Linked DNA regions of Macaca fascicularis. The protein of the gene in region 2 interacts with the protein of the main gene of each other region in a biochemical or structural test. Links are inferred from orthologs where the notes say so. Each region holds a gene or a part of one and is shown on either strand. Other genes may lie near its edges.

What was found.
Region 1: the proteins of RNH1 (region 2) and ANG are reported together in a solved structure, tested with the Homo sapiens proteins (3 studies listed by BioGRID and IntAct, with this or other methods). The link is inferred for Macaca fascicularis from reciprocal best matches to the Homo sapiens genes RNH1 and ANG.

Annotation. Positions count from the first base shown.
Region 1 is NC_088381.1:88,364,174-88,368,867, reverse strand, and holds part of ANG (angiogenin), read right to left. Parts: intron 622-4,694; 5' UTR 604-621; coding exon 163-603; 3' UTR 1-162. UniProt on the Homo sapiens protein: Secreted ribonuclease that can either promote or restrict cell proliferation of target cells, depending on the context. Endocytosed in target cells via its receptor PLXNB2 and translocates to the cytoplasm or nucleus.
Region 2 is NC_088388.1:403,506-408,648, forward strand, and holds the start of RNH1 (ribonuclease inhibitor), read right to left. Parts: upstream 3,091-5,143; 5' UTR 2,869-3,090; intron 1,700-2,868; 5' UTR 1,641-1,699; coding exon 1,560-1,640; intron 659-1,559; coding exon 574-658; intron 279-573; exon of another isoform or gene 238-278; intron 49-237; exon of another isoform or gene 1-48. UniProt on the Homo sapiens protein: Ribonuclease inhibitor which inhibits RNASE1, RNASE2 and angiogenin (ANG). May play a role in redox homeostasis. Required to inhibit the cytotoxic tRNA ribonuclease activity of ANG in the cytoplasm in absence of stress.

The sequences.
Region 1 (4,694 bases), on a different chromosome or scaffold from region 2:
TTATTTATTAAACATGTTGTCAGACAGAAAACAAAAGGTCCAGGTAGCTCTTTCTTTGGGCCCTTGGCAATGCATGTTGCCACACTGTTCTAGGGTGCAGAGGGGAAATGTAAGGCAAGGGCAGCAGAGCCAGCACTTGACACTTGACCAGTGGCCCGCTGGTTACGGACGGAAAATGGACTCATCCAAGTGGACAGGTAGGCCATTTTCACAACCAACAACAATGTTTCTGGACCCCCGTGTGGCTCGGTACTGGCATGGAGGCCGGGGGGATCCTCCACGTAGTTTGCAAGTGGTGACCTGGAAAGGAGACGTGCTTATTCTTAGGTTTCCTCCATAAGGGCTTCCATTCTCATCTCCACAGATGGCCGTGATGTGGTGCCTGTTGCCATGAACAAAGGTGTTGATGTCTTTGCAGGGTGAGGTCAGATGCCGTCTCCTCATCGTGCTTTCACAGTATCTGTCATTCCGGCCCTGTGGTGTGGCATCATAGTGCTTGGCCAGGAAGTCTCTGTACCTTGGGTTATCCTGAGCCAGGGTGGGTAGGGTCAGACCCAGACCCAGCATGAAGACCAACAAGAAAAGGCCCAGGCGCATCACCATCTCTTCCAACACAGGCTCCTGCCAAGGGCAAAAGGAGGAATGGTAGATGCAAGAACAGCATCACCAAATCAGGCAAAAAGGACAGGAGCTTTTCTCTCTGACACGGCATCATGAATCAGATCTTTTCCGCCACCAAATTATATATTCTATTCTCCCTTTCTCATTAACCTTACACCTGTTCTGAATCCATTCCTCTGAAAGGTCTATTTAATAGTTTCCTGAGCACAACCTCTAGCTCCAACCATTCTTTCCTATCCCTTAGAATCACTGAGTATTTCTCTATCAGTCGTTACATTACAAAATCCACTCTCACTAATTCACTTATTAATTAATTGAATAACGAACATTACATAGGTCCCTACTGGGTACCAGGGACTGTACTAGGTCCTGACGCACATTCAGACATACCAAATGACGGCCGGGCGCGGTGCCTCAGGCCTGTAATCCCAGCACTTTGGGAGGCCGAGACGGGCGGATCACGTGGTCAGGAAATCGAGACCATCCTGGCTAACACAGTGAAACCCCATCTCTACTAAAAATACAAAAAATTAGCCGGGCGTGGTGGCGGGCGCCTGTGGTCCCAGCTACCTGGGAGGCTGAGGCAGGAGACTGGCGTGAACCAGGGAGGTGGAGCTTGCAGTGAGCAAGATCGCGCCACTGCACTCCAGCCTGGGCGGCGACAGAGGCAGACTCTGTCAAAAAAAAAGACATACCAAATGCCTCCCTAATAGGAAATGAGGCATCCATGGGGAAAGGATGGGGGCTTCAGTGTACTGAGATGAGATAGTAATACAGGAGGTGAGAGATAAGAAGAGAGAGTTTTAGGGGAGTGGTCTCTAACACTTTTGGCACCAGGGACCATTTTTGTGGAAGACAGTATTTCCATGGATGGGTGGGGGATGGTTTCAGGATGAAATCGTTCTGGCTCAGATCATCAAGAATTAGTTTAATTTAGGGTCTCATAAAGAGGACACAATCTGGATCCCGCACATGTGCAGTTCACAATAGAGGGGTCCGGCTCCTGTGAGAATCTAATGCTGCCTGCTGATCTGACAGGAGGCAGAGCTCAGGCGGACAGGCCACAGACCGGGATTTGGGGACCTCTGTTTTAGGGAATCCAGAGCCCAGAGAAGGATCAACCATAAAATTGTTTATGACAGAATTCTAGCTAATTACTCAGCTAATGTGAAGAAAGCAGTTGAAAGCAGTTGCATCCTGAGTTGAGGGGAAGCAGACCTACTTCCCCAAGAAGTAGGTGGTTCATGGCCAAAGGTGAATTTGTTCTGTACCATTTAGAAAGAAGAGGGAGGAGCATGGAAGAAGACACGCGATGTTTGGAAGATGGGTCTGGAATCAACCCTTACAGAGAAGAAAGAGGAATATGAGCTTATTCTTAGGAGCTTCTCACATTGGAAGCAATTGAGATTATTCTAGATAATATTTTCTAGTTTCTCCTGCATATGTACATATGCTGTTACACAACAGGCAAAAGGTGCTACCATGTGGTAAAAAAATGCCTTAGACTTTTTTTTTTTTATCAAATCAAAGGCCTTACAGTTTGCTCTAATGATTTCTTAACATCTTCCTCAAAAGAAGAGAAAAAGAGGATTCCTGCCATCACCTCTCAAGAGCTGTCCCTCTCAAACTCTAGAACGCACACATCCCAGGAATGGTGCATCACAGACACTCACCTTTAGGTAGATGCTTTAGGTAAATACGGTGCTTCTTCCTGGAGCTTAATTTTAACTCAATGACTGATCATTGACAATAGAACTAAACAAATATGAATTATAACAAAATAGAAAGCAAATTTCTTATGAACTTTTAAGATTCTATTTCTTATGAAAGTTCAAGATTAGAGAATTGAAAAGTATTTGGTATGTGCAACAAGTAGTTTCTGACTATACCTTTAGTTCTTTGGAGAAAATTTTAAAGACCATTCAGAGCCTTTAAAAATCATTACAGATCTAACCCACATTATATCTAATATATGTGAATGCCCCTATATTTGACAACAAAAATAACTTTTCACTGTAAAATTTTACCTGATTTTTGGAATTTTGCTTTTCAAATTGTTCATTTATGAGTAACTCATTGAATTTATGACTGGCTATGATTTCTTGGTAGTCATCACACATACTGAGAAATTCTCACAAAGGGAGAAAAATCTGATCTTCAAATTGTATTACATTCTTATGTAATACAATTCTTATGACCCCTAAACGTAAAAATAAATGGTACACTTTCATAGACACTAAATTAATTATTAATTTTTTATTTGGTGCTTCTCTTGTGTGTAAGTCAATGAACATCTTCATATCAAATAGTTCTGTAGCCTTTGCCGGAAGCACCAAGGTTGTACAAGTTGTGGGGGATGTTGCTGTCCACAGAAGGGAGTCTGAGCTTAAAAAGGCCATGGGTCCTAGCACTAGGCCTGTGCTGTGGCTAGCCTGTTCTGAGAGCAAGACTGTGGATCTAGAAAGACACAGGACTCCAGTGTTCTATGGTTACATGGGAAGAAATGTGGGGTGAGCAAAGTGAGCTCTCTTTCTAATTTGCATTTGGTGTTGATTCCATTACAAATTATAACCTATGAACTTAATGCAAACATTTCCAGCTGCTATTTACTTCATTATTGTGGAATGAAAAATTCCTTACCATATAATTTGGTATTCTTCAGCAGTGTATCAAATTTGTCTGCACTGACATTTGTCTATACTTGAGACGAGTTGCTATCTCTAAAAGTCTGCAATTCCATGCTGAAAGTGTGTTCTTGGGAGTTTATCAAGAAAGAGGTACATGATTGCAGAATGGAGAGCCAGCCCTAAAGGAGTAACAAGTATTCACTCATGCAGTTGCTCCAATATAGCTGCTGGGCTGCCAAGCCACCCACTTCCCAAGTTCTTTACATTTACATCATGCTTTTCAGTCTCCTGCGTGTGTTTCCTGTTTCTAGTTTTTTGGAAGATCTTATCAAAGTTTTATTGATTTGTAATCAATTAAGTCTCTTGCTCTGTAATGAACAAATACTGACTTCTAATGTCAAAAGTCTCTTACATAGTCAACATCCCTCTGCCTGGTGCCAGAATCCCAGAATTCAAAAAATCAGGGAGCGGAACCAGAGCTGCTAGTACCTAAAAGAGTCATTAGGTGGCAGTGGTGGATAGGAATGTTACTAATGTCTCCTCTAGGAAAGAGACCGGACTTGGAAGAGGTGCCAATGCTGTGTAACTGGTGGGGATATTGCTGTTCACAGAAGCGAGTATGAGCTGATGAGCCTGTTTAGAATCTCTGTCCAAACCCTCTCTGCATTAGATATTAAGACCAAGGACACCTTACCAGGTATAAGTGCCAAAGTAAAAGCCACAAAGCTCAGGATCTACCCATAATGATATCACAAAATGAAGATCGACCTGTTGTCAGGTTTCACAGTTGCCATTTCCAAGCATGCCATTACCCATGTGATCCTGGATGAACAATGGACTATTTACTTGTGAGTGTTTCTTACTGGTGTATATTCTACAGAATTCATATTATTCACCTTGAATCAACATGCTTGCCTTATTATACCCCTTAATAGTTTTTAAATAATTGACTTCATTTTTCTCTCCAGGCCTGTCCATCAAGAAAATAAGAGAGTTGTTAGCTCTAAAAATCTGAAGTTTCATGGTTCTCATTAAGCATAATAGAGGCTTTGCTAGTTTCAATAGCAAAGGTCCAGTGACCTTCAGTTACAAAGACAAATTTTGTGTAAGTTTAGTTGGGGGCACAAGGCACCAACTGAAACAAGGAGATGACAGGGTGACCTGTGGCCCAATCTCATTAAGATGCATCATCCCATAAGGCTCAATGTGTAAGCCACGCTCACATAACACCTCTAGGTAAAGCACTGGACTACACGGGGGCTTTGCCTCCTAAAAAGCCACTTGTTTTTTAAGTATGAAGGCCCTCACATCCCAGTCTGCAGAGGTAAAAGGGTATCTTTGCTTCTGATTTGCAGAATATGCACATTCATTTTGTAACAAGTCAGCTAAGGTTTGCCCGGGCTTACTGTAATCTTGATTCCCTAAGACATCCAGGAGCCAAATCTC
Region 2 (5,143 bases):
TGATGGGGACGTGGACACGGCGACCTCCGAGGGGCGCAGGGCCACCCCCTAGGGAGACACGGGCCACGCTCAGGCGACGTGCAAACGTTCCTGGTCCCTGGGACCCCCGCCCGCGTCGAGTCCCTCGAACCCGCTAGTTCTGGACACCCTGCCGCATACTAAAGGGCTGGGAGGGAACCTCAGAAAAACACGGAGTGGGTCTCCCCTGCTTCTCTGCCCCCGCCCGCGCCCGCTCACCCGGCGCCGCCGCCGCAGACCCAAGGCCCGAGCCGCTTCGCGCTCCTTCCGCCCAGGCGGGGGCGGGCGGAGCCTCCAGCGTGCCCAGCTCAGTCCCCGGGCCTCGTTCCAGTTACTACCCCAGCTTCCCCACTCCCCCCTCGGTTGGGGGTGAAGCCTGACGTCCGCATCCCGTTTCCCACCGTCTGCCCCCAACCAGCCTTTCCACTTAATCTCCCGGAACCGGCGCCTGCACCCGCCTTCCCCCAGACCATCCCTCCAGCTCTGGCAGCCCCTGCCTCCTCCCACAAACAGGCCGGATTCCAAGAATTCCCCAAACACTAAAATAAAGCAAACCTGAGATACTCCTTTTTGCTACCAGACTGGAGATCATGGAACAGATTGACGATGATTTGTTGCGGCTGACGCGAAATGGGCGAGGCTGTGAGGAGAGGTTTTGGAGAGCCGCTGGGCCCTCCTGAAAACTTTGGACACACCCTCCGTTTCTATCAGTCAAGAGTTCTGGCCGGGCGCGGTGGCTCAAGCCTGTAATCCCAGCACTTTGGGAGGCCGAGACGGGTGGATCACGAGGTCAGGAGATAGAGACCATCCTGGCTAACACGGTGAAACCTTGTCTCTACTAAAAAATACCAAAAAAAAAACTAGCCGGGCGAGGTGGCGGCCGCTTGTAGTCCCAGCTACTCGGGAGGCTGAGGCAGGAGAATGGCATGAACCCAGGAGGCGGAACTTGCAGTGAGCTGAGATCTGGCCAAAACCAATGTATATCTTTTTTTTTTTTTTTTTTTTTTTTGAGATGGAGTCTCGCTCTGTCGCCCAGGCTGGAGTGCAGTGGCCGGATCTCAGCTCACTGCAAGCTCTGCCTCCCGGGTTTACGCCATTCTCCTGCCTCAGCCTCCCGAGTAGCTGGGACTACAGGCGCCTGCCACCTTGCCCAGCTAGTTTTTTGTATTTTTTAGTAGAGACGGGGTTTCACCGTGTTAGCCAAGATGGTCTCGATCTCCTGACCTTGTGATCCACCCGTCTCGGCCTCCCAAAGTGCTGGGATTACAGGCTTGAGCCACCGCGCCCGGCCCACCAATGTATATCTTAAATGTATTTCATTGATGCCTCATATCTCTCTAAAACGTATAAAATCAAGCTGCCCCAACCACCTTGGACACATGTTCCCAGGATCTCCACCGGCCGCAGTCACTCATTTTTGGTTCCGAATTAATCCCTTCAAATATTTTACATTTTAACTATTATTATCAACAGTACCTTTTTAAAAATAAGAATGGCCCTGAAAGATGTCAACATCCGAATCTTCAAACCTGTGGTGTTACCTTACGTGGCAAAAGGGACTTTGCAAATATTAGGAATATTGAGATGTGAAGGCTATCCTGGGGTATCTGGGCGGCCGGCATATTATCGTGAGGGTTCTTATGCAGAGACAGCAGGTTTTGAAGATGGAAGAAGATGGCCTCTAGAAGTTGGAAAAGCAGATTTTCCTTGGGAACCTCCAGAAGCAACTACCCTTGCCAACACCTTGATTTTAACCTCCTAAAACTCACTTTGGGCTTCTGAGCTTCAGGCCTGTAAAACAACCTATCTATGGCAAATTCGTTATAGCAGGGATGAGACAATAGCTCACTGCAGCCTCCTCCTCCAGGGCTCAAGCCATCCTCCTGCCTCAGCGTCCCAAGTAGCTGGGACTACAGGCGTTCACTACCACAACTGGCTAATTTTTTCCATTTTTTTGTAGAGACGGGGGTCTCACTATGTTGGCCAGGCTGGTCGCAAACTCCCGGGCTCAAGAGATCCGCCCGCCTTGGCCTCCCTAAGTGCTGGGATTACAGGCTGCACCAGCGCATCCAGCCAAATGTAACCTTTTTTTTTTTTTCCTGAGACGGAGTTTCACTCTTGTCACCCAGGCTGGAGTGCAGTGGCATCATCTCGGCTCACTGCAACCTCCGCCTCCTGAGTTCAAGCGATTCTCCTACCTCAACCTCCCAAGTAGCTGGGATTACAGGCGCCTGCCACCACGCCCGGCTAATTTTGTATTTTTAGTAGAGACGGGGTTTCACCACGTTGGCCAGGCTGTTCCTGAACTCCTGACCTCAGGTGATCCGCCCGCCTCGCACTCCCAAAATCCTGGGATTACAGGGGTGAGCCACTACGCCCGGCCCCAATGTAACTCTTAACGGCAATATCGTGTGCAGTCTCCCGCTCGTATTCGGTTTACTCGACCAATCGCTAAGACGACACTTGAGACTGTTTTCATATCTTTAGGCTTTCCACCATCCTAGAAAGGGGCCTTGCCTGGTTCTAAGGCCGTTCTGAAACACTACCCAACTGTCCTCGGGAAACGGTGCAGAAATCCTCTGGTTTCCCCCAAGGCGCGTGGGCACCTTGGCTGGAACCTCGCCCAATAACACGATGTGCCTGGGGCCCCTTCATCATTTCCGCCAACCCTGGTTACAGCCCTGACGCCGGCCCCTAAGAGCCGTTCCAGTTCTGTCGCTCTCCTCCCCGCAGCCCCAGGCGGTAGCTTCGCGGCCCGGCGTCCGGTCTCCCGGTGGTCCCAGAGCGAGGCTCCGCAATGGAGGGCGAAGGACCCTCCCTCCCCGACCTCGCACGACCGAGACCGCCCACCTTTCCCCCAACGCCCGGCGGTGGGAGCCGTTCGAGTCTTCTCCGCCAGAGCGGTCCTTCCCGGGAGGCCGGTTCTTTGGGGGAATAAGGTCAAGGGTTACGTGATTTGGGGAAGAAAGCTCGGCTGGACCAAGATTGCTTGCGCAGCTCGCTGGAATCTAAGGCACTAGGGGGCACGACGGCCACGCGAGAACGACCCAAGTAGGCGCAGCACCGCCCCCCGCCCCGCGCAGGGACTTCCGGCGCGCCCCAAAGGGGAGCTCGCGGCGCGATGACGTCTTCAGGGAGCGCCACATCCGCCGGGCGGCGCATCTGCCCAGCGCAACCTTGCCGGCCCCAGACCCCTGCCCCGCCCGACCCCGCCCCGCCGCGGGAGCGCGCCACTCGCCCGCGCAGCAGGGGCCTCAGTAGCGCTAGGCGCGCGTCTTCCGAAAGCCCGACCGAGGCCGGCGTGGGCGAGGCCTGGCTACAGGCTGACGCACCGCTGGAGCTACTGACCTCGGGACGACTGGCGGACGGTCGCAGGCCTGGAGACCCAGAGCGAGACGGCCGACTTCCTTCTCGAGCCAGCAGAACGGGTTGAATGTGTCGACACCTCCAGCCGCCAGAGTCAGCGGCGCGGGCGTGTTGGAGCCGGCTGGTGGGCGCGGTCAGGTGCGGGGGCGGGGACTACTGGGCGGGGCTCGGCGCAGGGGCGGGGCCTGATGGGCGCAGTCTCGGTGCGGGGGCGGGGCCTAGAGGGCATGGCTCGGCTCGGGGGCGGGGCTCGGCGAAGTACAGTCGGCGCAGGGGCGGGGCTCGTGGGGCGAGGCTCGATGCGGGGGCGAGAGGGTCTCGTGGGGACGGGGGTCTCCCTAGTAGGCGGGGCTTGGTGCTGGGGGCGGGGCCTGGCGGGCCCGTGCTGTGGCCTCGCACTGGCAGACACTTCTCGGCGATTCCTCAGAATCCTCGGAGGAGGCGGCCAGACCCGGAGCGGCAGCGCCGTGGAGGCGGAGTCGCAGGCGCAGGTCGGGCCTGGCTGGGGCGCGGAGCGCGGCCCCCGGAGAAAGCGGCGGCCTCGGGACAGGAGGGACCCGGGAGAAGCCCCCCTGGGGCGGCTCCGCATGTCGGGGTCGCGCCTCTAGGCGACCTTGGTAGAGGGGCTCCTTTGCGCCGAGATCGCGACCCTCGAGGGAGCCACGGCCCGGTGATCCACGCTGCCCGTCCCGGCCATTGGCTGCGCCTTTGTTTCGTGGGACCCCAGCCCGCAAGGCCTGCAGAGCTGCGGACCCAGCTCTCATCGCGGACCCAGCTGCTCCCGCGTCCATTCTGCGGCCAAGACACCCGAGCGCCGCCCGGAGCCCCGGTACTGAGGGGCGCAGGCCGAGTTCCAGACTAGCCTGGGAAACGCAAAGCGACCCCACCTCCACAAAAGTGGGTTTACTTTAAGTTTTTGACTAGTCCCCAGTTCACAAAATTGACATTTTGGCAGATGAAGATTGCAAGGAAACTGACGGTACGTCAGATTTGTTCTTTAGCAATTTGCTAAACCTCTTCTCTGACTGCCTTTATTATGTATTTATTTTCCAGACAAGGTCTTACTCCGCTGCTTAGGCTGCACTGCAGTGGCGTGATCCCAGCTCACTGCAGCCTCCACCTCTCGGACTCCAGCGATCCTCCCGCCTCAGCCTCCCAAGTAGCTGGGACCACAGGCGCCAGCACGCCTGGCTTATTGTTTTATTTTATGTAGAGAAGAGGTCTCCCTGTGTTGCCCAGGCTGGTCTTGAATTGGGCTCAAGTGATCCTCCTGCTTCAGCCTCCCATAGCGCTGGAATTACTGGCAGGAGCCACTGTATCCGGCTTGATCATCTTTAAAGAAGGTGGTTCTGGCCGGGCGCAGTGGCTCACATCTGTAATCCCAACACTTTGGGAGGCTGAGGAGGGTAGATCACCTGAGGTCAGGAGTTCAAGACCAACCTGGCCAACATGGTAAAAACCTGTCTTTACTAAAAATACAAAAATTAGCCAGGCGTGGTGGCGGGCACCTGTAATCCCAGCTATTCGGGAGGCTGAGGCGGGAGAATCGCTTGAACACGAGAGGCAGAGTTGCACTGAGGCTAGACCACACCATTGTACTCCAGCCTGGGCAACAAGATGAAACTCTGGCTGGGCACAGTGGCTCATACCTGTAATCCCAGCACTTTGGGAGGCCAAGGCAGGCAGATCACCTGAGGTCAGGAGTTTGAGACCAGCCTGGCTAGCATGACAAAACCCCATCTCTATTAAAAATACAAAA